3 linked regions of the Macaca fascicularis genome follow. The protein of the gene in region 1 purifies or fractionates together with the protein of each later gene. This does not show direct contact. Links are inferred from orthologs where the notes say so. Each region holds a gene or a part of one and is shown on either strand. Other genes may lie near its edges.

Region 1 (3,648 bases):
CATCATACCTGATGCCTCTGCAGCTTTGTTTTCCCTCCATCCTTCCTGTGTTTGTGTGTTCTGGCCACACTAACTGCTGTATAAAGTCTTTCCTGACCGTTCCTATGCCCTCACTCAGAGTCCACAGAGTTCTGTAGTAACCCAGGCCTGAGTATTAACTGGCCTCAAAGGGTCCTTGATGGCTTGTACCCCTCCCCCAGGCAGAAGAGCCTCATGCTCATCCTTGGTCCTGCATACGTCAGCGTTTATGGAACGAGAGATGAACACAGGGCCCTCCTCCTCATGGACATGCTTTGCTCAGTTGAGTGTTCCTAGAACACCTCATAGTTCTTGAAGGAAATTCTGCAAGGGGAGAAGCTTGTGGGCAGGTCGAGCAACCTTATCAGAGTGACCCTCTCTGTCCCCAGGCCCCAGTGCAGAGAGCCCACGGCCATCCAGTGCCTACAATGGGGACCTCAATGGGCTTCTGGTCCCAGACCCGCTCTGCTCAGGTGATGGTACCTCAACAAACAAGACTGGTCTTCGGACCATGCCACCCATTAACCTGCAAGAGAAGCAGGTCATGTGAGTACCTAGGAGACGACAATGGTGGTGATGGTGTGTTTGGGGTGTCTTCCTAGCTGAAGCCATGAGATGGGGAGTGAGCAGGGCCAGCGGCCTCTGCTGCTTCCTCTCTAGATGACCTGGGATGGGGCTTGAGCTTGCACTAGGATGAGAGGCAAGGACAAGCTCAAGGGTTTGGCCTGGATACCTGGTTTAAAATGAAAGTAGACTCATTCCCAAGGAAGGAGGTGAGCAAGCGGAGCTGTGGGTCTGGGGCCAGTGTACCAGGCAAAGCTGACATTGGACTAGATACCTTTACCAGGCTGGCTATGTCCTCGCTTCCTCCCGTCCCTGCCCATTGAGCCTTTGGGTGAACAAGAGACAAAGTTTTTGCACTCTTCCCCACAGCTGTCTCTCAGGAGATGATAGCTCCACCTGCATTGGGATTTTGGCCAAGGAGGTGGAGATTGTGGCCAGCAGTGACTCTAGCATTTCAAGCAAGGCCCGGGGAAGCAACAAGGTAGGTACTAGGATGCTGTGGCATATATAATGTATAGGGGCACACCCAGCCTTTCCGGTCTCCCTCATGCTGCCAGTTCCTGTGGGGCCACCTTGACACTTTCCCAGTTTCAGGAAGCCAGGGCTGGGTGCCAAGCCTCTGTGGGAGTCTGGCTCCAGGAGGTAACAGTGGGTAGCTGGACTTGCATCTGTGTCCTCTCCCATCCCCAGGGATGTTGGGGGCCACCTAGGCTCTAGGGAAGTTCCATGACTTTTCTTACCCTGGGTTCTCAGGTGAAAATTCAGCCTGTCGCCAAGTATGACTGGGAGCAGAAGTACTACTATGGCAACCTGATTGCTGTGTCTAACTCCTTCTTGGCCTATGCCATTCGGGGTGAGTAAAGACAGTGGGGAGGAAGGACGTCCTTCCTCCTATGCTGGACGTCCAACAGAGCCAGTTCCAACATCAGGCCACTCAGGCCTTAGGGGTACAATGGAAGGTTTGTCCATGCTGCCTCTTGGGGAGCTGGGTGGGAAAACCAAGCTTGCGACTATGGTGGTGGCAGGAGACAGACAGGGGCAGCGCTTCTCTGCTGCTGCCTGAGCCTGGATGTGTACTCATGGTCCACTGCTCTCCTGATTCCAGCTGCCAACAATGGCTCCGCCATGGTGCGGGTGATCAGTGTCAGCACTTCGGAGCGGACCTTGCTCAAGGGCTTCACAGGCAGTGTGGCTGATCTGGCTTTTGCACACCTCAACTCTCCACAGCTGGCCTGCCTGGATGAGGCAGGCAACCTGTTCGTGTGGCGCTTGGCTCTGGTTAATGGCAAAATTCAGTATCCATTCCTTCCCGTGGGTGGTGGGACTGAAGAAGGGTGGGCGGAGCTGGGGTGTCATGCCTCTTCATTCACCTATCTAGCCCTTAACACCCTGCTCAGAGAAGAGATCTTGGTCCATATCCGGCAGCCAGAGGGCACGCCACTGAACCACTTTCGCAGGATCATCTGGTGCCCCTTCATCCCTGAGGAGAGCGAGGACTGCTGTGAGGAGAGCAGCCCGACGGTGGCCCTGCTGCATGAAGACCGGGTGAGGGGGCTGGCATGGCGAGGAGGCGCCAGAGAAGCCATAGTGTGGGGATGGGCTGCACACTCACCTCTCTGTGCCTTCCAGGCTGAGGTGTGGGACCTGGACATGCTCCGCTCCAGCCACAGCACTTGGCCTGTGGATGTCAGCCAGATCAAGCAGGGCTTCATTGTGGTAAAAGGTCATAGCACGGTAAGCCTGTGACTGCCTGCCTCCCCTGCCCTCTCTTTCCTCATATCCGTCCTCTGTTCCCTATATCCACAGCTGTCCGGGCAGCTTTACTAGCATTCTGTCCATGGGGACTCTGAGCTCAAAGTGGCCCTTGCCTGTGCAGTTTTCTCCTTACCTCACAGCACCCTGCAGGTCTGGCCTTCTCTAGGGACCCTGTTCATTCAGTCAGTCACACAAGCATGCCAGTCCCACCATGAGTCAGTCCAGCTCATTACCATCCTCACTTGGGAGGGACTTGTTCTCACCTCTAGTCAGCAAAGCTTTTTGGGTTCTTTCTAGTGCCTCAGTGAAGGAGCCCTCTCCCCTGATGGGACTGTGCTGGCTACTGCGAGCCATGATGGCTATGTCAAGTTCTGGCAGATCTACATTGAGGGGCAAGATGAGCCAAGGTAAGGCAGGGCCTCAGGGACCAGGATCCTCCCGAGGTAGCCGACCGGACTGCTCACTCAGGCCCCTCATCTGCCTACCTGCAGGTGTCTGCACGAGTGGAAGCCTCATGATGGGCGGCCCCTCTCCTGCCTCCTGTTCTGTGACAACCATAAGAAACAAGACCCTGAGTGAGTGAGTGGGCAGCCTAGTGGGTGGTGGGCTGGACCATGGCTCCCAGCAGGCGGCCCAGCCAGCCAGTCAGTGCCTTGTTGCCTTGCAGTGTCCCTTTCTGGAGGTTCCTTATTACTGGTGCTGACCAGAACCGAGAGCTAAAGATGTGGTGTACGGTGTCCTGGACCTGCCTGCAGACTATTCGGTAAGGAGTAGTTGGAAGGCTGGGGGACTGGGCAGGGGCAGCAGGGTTGGGAATGTGGCTTCCTTCAGTTCTCAGCCTCATTCACTCTGCTTTGTGGCTCTCTAGCTTCTCCCCAGATATCTTCAGCTCAGTGAGTGTGCCCCCTAGCCTCAAGGTTTGCTTGGACCTCTCAGCAGAATACCTGATTCTCAGCGATGTGCAACGGAAGGTAGGCTGCCATGGGGTACCCTGGGCAGAGCTGGGATTATAGAGGAAGGCCGGGGGGCAGGTGGCGCATTGCAGCCCTTAGCCTCTGAGCTCAGCTAGGAACGTTCTGCCTGTGCAGGTCCTCTATGTGATGGAGCTGCTGCAGAACCAGGAGGAGGGCCATGCCTGCTTCAGCTCCATCTCGGAGTTCCTGCTCACCCACCCTGTGCTGAGCTTCGGTATCCAGGTTGTGAGTCGCTGCCGGCTACGGCACACTGAGGTGCTGCCTGCCGAGGAGGAAAATGACAGCCTGGGTGCTGGTGAGCTGCCCCAGGGTCAGAGCTATGTGTCCATATATCTAG
Region 2 (3,648 bases), on another chromosome or scaffold:
CATTTCACAAATAGGGAAGAGGCCCTGTGGGAAGCAACATCCTATCATGTGAGGCTTTGGATCTGTGAGTGCTGCTCAGGGAAAAGAGGCTTTCCTTGCCCCACTGAACCCAGATCTGCCCTGCTCCTTGGAAGCCACCTCCCCACTCCAGACACCAGTCTCCCACAAGGTTGCCCACATCCTCCTCTTTACTGACAAAGCCAATAGGCACTTGTCAACTCTAATTTTGATTGATCTATCGGCAGTACCACTGCCAGCCATTCCTTTTGACTTCAAATACTATTTCCTTGGTTCTTACACGCTACCCTCTTGGTTTCTTACCTCTCTTGCTTTCTTCTTCATCCTCCTAACTGTGCCCTACATGCCGATGTTCCCCAGAATCCCACCCTAGGCCCTTTCTTTTCACACCTTCTCACATGATCTCATCTACTCTTACACCATCTACAAGCTGACAACTCTCAAATCTCTAGCATCAGCTCAGACCCTTTTCTGAACTTCAGACTTTTTTTTCTTTTTTTTCTGAGATGGAGTCTTGCTCTTGTTGCCCAGGCTGGAGTGCAGTGGTGTGATCTCGGCTCACTGCAACCTTCTCCTCCCAGCTTCAAGCAATTCTCCTGCCTCAGCCTCATTAGTAGCTGGGACTATAGGCACCTGCCATCACGCCTAGCTAATTTTTATATTTTTAGTAGAGATCACCATTTCACCATGTTGGCCAGGCTGGTTTTGAACTCCTGACCTCAAGTGATCTGCCCACCTTGGCTTCCCGAAGTGCAGGAATTACGGGTGTGAGCCACCATGCCTGGCCTAAATTTCAGATCCTTATAGCTAAGAGACTATTTGGATATCTTACAGGTATTCCAAACTCAACACATCCAAAACAAAACCCACAATCTCTCTCAAACCTGCTCTTCTTCCCATGTTTCCTATCACAGTGAATGTGTACCATCATCCAATCAGATGTCCAGGCTAGAAAGCTTGAAGTTCACTGATTTCTGACACTATAGTTTCCATCACCTCTAAAATCCATTCAATTACCTTGTCCTGCTGAATTTACCTTAACAACAAACCCTCATCTGCCCACTTCTCTTTCTTTTTTTAAAAGAGACAAGGTCATATAAAAAAAAAAAGAGAGAAAGAGAGACAGACAAGGTCTCACTATGTTGCCCAGGCTGGCCTCAAACTCCTAGGCTCAAGCAATCCTCCCACCCCAGCCTCTGGAGTAGCTGGGATATAGGCATGCATCACCAAACCTATTTGTACACTTTTCTGATCCCTGCTTCCCTAGTTGGGCCACCATCATTTGGGCCCTGGCTCAGTTTTCTAAGTGTTGCAGTTTTCTACCTGATCTCACTGCTTTCAGTCTTGCCTCCACTGAATCTACTGTCCTCATTGTAGCTAAAAATCATCTTTTTAAAACACAAGACTAACCATGTCATAGCTCTACTGAAATCTCTTCAGCAGCTCCCTACCACTCAGCTATACTGAGGCCCTACTTTCCAGCGACAGAGTAACTTACAGATTGCCAACAATTCCATGGTCTCTTGATTCTCTCTGCCCTTGACACATGCTACTTCCTGTACTTAGAATACCTTCTTCTTGGCCAGGTGCGATGGCTCACACCTGTAATTCCAGCACTTTGGGAGGCAGAGGCGCGCAGATTACCTGAGGCCAAAAGTTTGGGACCAGCCTGGACAACATGGCGAAACCCTGTCTCTATCAAAAACACAAAAAAATTAGCCGTGCATGGTGGCACATGCCTGCAGTCTCAGCTACTTCGTAAGGCTGAGGTGGGAGAATCGATCAAACTCGGGAGGTGGAAGTTGCAGTGAGCTGAGATTGTGCCACTGTGCTCCAGCCTGGGTGACAGAGTGAGAACCTATCTTAAAAAAAAAAAAAAGAGGCCGGGCGCGGTGGCTCAAGCCTGTAATCCCAGCACTTTGGGAGGCCGAGGCGGGCGGATCACAAGGTCAGGAGATCGAGACCACAGTGAAACCCCGTCTCTACTAAAAAAAAAATACAAAAAATTAGCCGGGCGCGGTGGCGGGCGCCTGTAGTCCCAGCTACTCAGGAGGCTGAGGCAGGAGAATGGCAGGAACCCGGGAGGCGGAGCTTGCAGTGAGCCGAGATCGCGCCACTGCACTCCAGCCTGGGCAACAGCGTGAGACTCCGTCTCAAAAAAAAAAAAAAAAAAAAAAAAAGAATGCCTTCCTCTTTCTTGCTTGCCCCTGCTAACCACCCCTTGTTCATCAGGGCTCTGCTTGGATGCCAGTGCTCCAGAAGCGTGACTGGTTTCTCCAGCCCGCGGCAATAATATGGCTTACTGGAGAATTTTGTTCCCTCTATCACAGCACTAGACTCTCTAGAGACCTCACTGGGCTACTGGAGGAAAGGTGTAGTATTTTATTCTTCGTGTCCCCAGTGTCTAGCAGAAGGTCTGGCACCTGGTATCAGTCTGTCCACAAATAAGGCACTGCCCTTGATATATGAGCATAAAGGGCAGGTGGGAAGGTGCCAAACTCCAGCTCCCCTACTCAGTTGTCAGTGTGGTTCTGGAAGTTCTCAGATATGGAGACTGATTTGCATCCCAGCCACGTAAAGTAAATGATGAGTGCCAAAGGCCAGGTCTCCGAAGGTTCCTAGAAGGAAGGCTTCTGATAGTTAGCAGGAGTCTCAGGCCAGATGGCGGCTATCAGGAAACAGAGGGTCAAAAGGCAGTTTGCCAGCAGAAGAATGAGGACATCTAGGAGATGGGTCTAAGGAGGGGCAAAGAAACCTCGCAGCATCCAAGAAAGTGACTTCAGAGAGATACTCCCATCAGATGGGCAGAAAACTGCCTAATGAACTCATCTGTGTGTATGGGAGGCTCTGTGATGGTGGCCAAGCAGAGCATCCTCACTCCACATTGAGTCCCTGCCAGTTTACAGGCATTTACCTGTTGGGTCCTCCGAGGAGGGTCAGTGCCATCTGACTGGCACACACACCTGTCATCTCCAGTCTCCGCTCCAGGGTCAGCCCATGCTTCTCAGCCACGGACAACAGCTTTTTATGTAGCTCATAGGAAACACTTGGGACAACCAGGCCAGAGTCTGCAGTTCAAAAGGAGAAGAGAAAGGGAAAGTGACTACAGAAACCAGGTCCAAACTGGGTATACTCTATCCAAGATTCTGCAAATGCCAACATTTTACCATGGACCACCCTCTGGCCCATCCTCTTCATCTTCCAGGACTAAGGCACACTCTGAGTAGTGAATGGTGAACCAAGTAACAACTTGTTCCAGGTCACCACAGAGTGGGGACAAACTTAAGCTCCCTTAGCAGTTTAGCTTTAGACCACGAAAGCCAAATCTACCAGGATATATTTAGTGCTATCGAGACCAGCACACAGCCGGTAATAGCAACCTATCAGGCACAAGAGAAGAGAACATGATTTTCCCAAAGTGGGGGAAATGCCATCTTGGGCAGCAGGGTTTCCTCACAAGCAGGTGCCTTGTCCTTCCTGAGAAGTGGAACAGACACAGACACTAGCTAACCCTGATGGCCCTCTGGTCCCTGCTGTTCTCCTCAACTGTAGGGCAGGAGGACTTGTTCCATCTGCTTCCCTCTTCCTCTTCCTTCTCTCTTCTATTTACCCTTCCTCTTTGATTAAGAA
Region 3 (3,648 bases), on another chromosome or scaffold:
ATGATACAGTGACTCAAATTTACAGTATTGTAGATCCTGTCTCAAAAGAAGTTAACCATTAAAGCAATGATACAGTGACTCAAATTTACAGTATTTTCATACCCAGTTAACAAATTTCAAGAGAATTTCCACTATCCAACTTGTCATACTGTATTTCAAAAATAATAGTGTTCAAATAAGTTAAAAAATAAAATATACTGAAAGAGACTATACTGTGATTTTTTTTTTCTTCTAAGGTGCAGGATTCAGGTGATGTGATTACAGAAGGTAGGATTCGTGTGATTTTCAGCATTCCATGTGAACCCAATCTTGATGCTTTAATACAGAACCAGCATGTGAGTACAGTAGTTTGTATCGTTGCATTTTGAATTGATAATCTTAAAATATTAGGATATTTTTGCCACCTCATTTGAATTTATTTCAGATATTTTATTTAATACTGATTAGATTCTCTCTCCCAGTTGCAGCTGCTGTTTAAAAATCAGTGTGGAATCTGTGCTCAAAACTTCATGTAGACCTTTATGGGGGGAAATCACTGATATCCAATTATTAATCCATAGTGATTGTTAGGGATTATTGTGTTCAAGCTTATAAGATGCACATTGATTAGCACACTCTCTGGGAATAGATTTAGGTGTTTTAAACCTTTCATAATAATTCAGAGCCTGCATTTTTAGTTGCAAGTGACAAATGGCCTTTCTGCAAAGGCTGTATGTATCCACTCAGCTAAGAATGAACGGTCTCAATTCTAAAGAATATTGGAAAAATGCATTTAAGTTAACAGCATCTTTTTCAGGACTTTCTCACCAAAAAATTCCACTGGCTTTCTTATCTCCTGTTAAAACAGAGGGAAGGTTCTGATATCTGTCATTTGTTCTTATTGATTGGTTGGATAATTAGCTAAAATTAATTCACAATCAACCAACTATTGCTACTTAGGGGTTTTTTTCTCACACTAATAGTAAAATGTAAAGCTTTATATCCTGTGAAATGAATTTAAGGCATTACATATCAGCACACCCATGAGGAAACTTTATGTATGGAAGACAGTCATCCCTAAAATCTTACCATCTGGTGCCATTTGAAGAACAAATTTAGACAGCATAGTCAGGAAACCAGGAGAGTGGCTCATTAAATAAAGTAGCTGGAGATTTGTACTGGGAATCAGTGAAGGTTAAAGAACTTGTGTTCCTTCATCCCTGGCTTTTTCTAGATCTCGAAGAGCCTGTCCTCTTGTATAGTAGTATACAGTGTTGATGGGCATGCCTTCTTCAGTTTGGTTTCTGTCTCTTTACATACGTTTAACTTTCACTCCAGCTGCCTTCTTTTTCTACCACAACATTCTCAGCTACTTATTTTATATTTTCTAGGATGTTTGTGATGGTTTTAATGAATTTTAAATTATAGCAAAACCCATTATTTCTCAAAAGGAGTACTATTGGCCATTTGGGCAGGACAGTTATGTATTAAATAAAACTGTTTTGTATATGGCAGGACAGTTGGCATCTTTGGCTCAAGGGCATTAAGTACTAGTAGCCCATGCCAGTTATGGTAATTAAATGTGCCTCTACACATTTCTAAATGCTTGTTAGAAAAGTGTTGCTACTTATGTTTGAGACCTACTACCATAATTCTTTGAACTCTTCTGGAAAGCATACTTGATTTGTATTAGATTATTGCTCAATCTGATTATGTTCTTAAGTATATTTTATTGTTATGTACATGATGTTAGGAGTATATGGTAGTTTATCCTAGTTAGTATTAGATTCATCAGTCATTTGCTTCCTGTTTAAATATTATATGATCTGTTACTTACTTTTTTTAATGTGACAATATGTTTTCTTCCCTTAAGTATATAAATTAAGGTTACATTTCATTGACTGTATTAATTATGGGTCTATACATGCTTGTATATTTTCATATGATAGTAAATATTAGGGGAAAAGAATATTACTTATATCCATATATGAAGGACACTTTTAGTTTTTCTCAGTAGCAACTATTTTGATGACGTACCTGTTTTTTAATTCAGTCTAGTAATTATTGAGGCCTCATTTTGTCCCAAGTACTTTGCTAGGCCCTGCTTGGAATATGAAAATTAGTAGAAACAAAAACAAACAAAAAAGTTGCCTGTGGAGTTTGCCATTTAGTACTTACAGTAGAGTTTATTTCTTAAGACAGTTTCACAAACTGTATATTTCCTCCCCCCTTTTATCCATCCTTGGGAATTCTGTCCTTTAAGGAGAAAGAGAGAGGAGCAGAAAAATTCTGCCTACAGATCCTTTCAAAAAAAAGGGGAAATGGATCTAAGTGAAAATCCTTATATTGCCACAATCCAATGGTTAGTGATGTCTTGATTATCTCCAGATTTTAAAGGTAAAGAAATAACATTTAATGTAAACTTGTGTTTCCATAATTGACCTTTTTGTTTTTATATTTAAAGAAATATTCTATAAAGTACAACCCAGGATATGTGTTGGCCAGTCGCCTTGGAGTGAGTGGATACCTTGTTTCAAGGTTTACAGGAAGTATTTTTATTGGAAGAGGATCTAGGAGAAAGTAAGTTTATGTTAGAGAAATTTACTTAAAGTGGCAGAAAAATTAAATGATAAAGATTAAATGCTTAATATTTCAGTATTTATTTTCTTATTAATTGCTCTGAATTGTCTTAAAATTGTGCATAAATTTCTCTGATGGTAATCTTTCATCTGAATGGCACATGTTTTAGGTGGTTGGAAAAGACAGTTCTTATTTTTTAGCAGCTAATAAATTGAACCTTGAAAAAAGGTATCAGAGGGTGTGTGTGAACCTCAGTAGTATATTTCCTTGCATCTTGTTATTTCATTTTCCTCTATAGTTACATAATTTATTTACATGCTTTGTTAACTTGGGTTTTGAAGCTTTTCTTCTAGTTTTTCAATTACTGCTACTTTGGAAATAACCATAATAACTAAAATATAGAAGAATAATCAAAACTGAGCTTTTCTAAGAATTGAAAGCAAAACTTTTTATTCCTTGAACAATATTTTAAAACGTGTGTGTGTGTGTGTGTGTGTGTGTGTGTGTGTGCACGTGCGTGCATGTGTGGTTTAAATTCAGCCCTCATGGAGACCATAAAGCAAATGTGGGTTTAAATCTCAAATTCAACAAGAAAAATGAGGAGGTACCTGGATATACCAAGAAAGTTGGAAGTGAATGGATGTATTCATCTGCAGCAGAACAACTTCTGGCAGAGTACTTAGAGAGGTAAGTACCTAATAAGATCCTAGTAGTCATCCAGAATCTTAGGAAAATACTGTTTATTTTTTTGCTTACATTAGTTTTAGTGGACAAATATTTCCATTAGTAAAATCTGGCATATGTTACATGTAAACTTAATTTTGCATCATGGATTATCATAGCCACTAGCTAAAATTGAGTAGAAAAATACCATGTTATTAAAAAGAAAGTATGTAATGAGAATTGGCCTCCTTAGTTAAAATTTTTCTTAACTTACTATCATAAATTGTTCACTACTTTGCATACCTGTGTCAGCACTGAGAGGACTGATATGGATAAACAAAGCTCTTAGCATAGTGGATTTTTTCTGATTCTTAGAACTTTGTAGCTGCACAGGTTACTATTTTAGAATTATTGAATTTTATTGCT

What was found.
Region 2: the proteins of EDC4 (region 1) and EDC3 purify together in Homo sapiens (affinity purification with mass spectrometry; 6 studies listed by BioGRID and IntAct, with this or other methods). This does not show direct contact. The link is inferred for Macaca fascicularis from reciprocal best matches to the Homo sapiens genes EDC4 and EDC3.
Region 3: the proteins of EDC4 (region 1) and XRN1 purify together in Homo sapiens (co-immunoprecipitation; 4 studies listed by BioGRID and IntAct, with this or other methods). This does not show direct contact. The link is inferred for Macaca fascicularis from reciprocal best matches to the Homo sapiens genes EDC4 and XRN1.

Annotation. Positions count from the first base shown.
Region 1 is NC_088394.1:63,931,412-63,935,059, forward strand, and holds part of EDC4 (enhancer of mRNA-decapping protein 4), read left to right. Parts: intron 1-200; exon of another isoform or gene 201-300; intron 301-407; coding exon 408-564; intron 565-951; coding exon 952-1,063; intron 1,064-1,335; coding exon 1,336-1,435; intron 1,436-1,687; coding exon 1,688-1,877; intron 1,878-1,979; coding exon 1,980-2,127; intron 2,128-2,211; coding exon 2,212-2,316; intron 2,317-2,634; coding exon 2,635-2,744; intron 2,745-2,828; coding exon 2,829-2,912; intron 2,913-3,004; coding exon 3,005-3,100; intron 3,101-3,205; coding exon 3,206-3,308; intron 3,309-3,425; coding exon 3,426-3,606; intron 3,607-3,648. UniProt on the Homo sapiens protein: In the process of mRNA degradation, seems to play a role in mRNA decapping. Component of a complex containing DCP2 and DCP1A which functions in decapping of ARE-containing mRNAs. Promotes complex formation between DCP1A and DCP2.
Region 2 is NC_088381.1:51,751,614-51,755,261, forward strand, and holds part of EDC3 (enhancer of mRNA-decapping protein 3), read right to left. Parts: intron 3,087-3,648; coding exon 2,933-3,086; intron 1-2,932. UniProt on the Homo sapiens protein: Binds single-stranded RNA. Involved in the process of mRNA degradation and in the positive regulation of mRNA decapping. May play a role in spermiogenesis and oogenesis.
Region 3 is NC_088376.1:45,200,189-45,203,836, reverse strand, and holds part of XRN1 (5'-3' exoribonuclease 1), read left to right. Parts: intron 1-236; coding exon 237-335; intron 336-2,242; coding exon of another isoform or gene 2,243-2,314; exon of another isoform or gene 2,315-2,376; intron 2,377-2,443; coding exon 2,444-2,559; intron 2,560-3,099; coding exon 3,100-3,246; intron 3,247-3,648. UniProt on the Homo sapiens protein: Major 5'-3' exoribonuclease involved in mRNA decay. Required for the 5'-3'-processing of the G4 tetraplex-containing DNA and RNA substrates. The kinetic of hydrolysis is faster for G4 RNA tetraplex than for G4 DNA tetraplex and monomeric RNA tetraplex.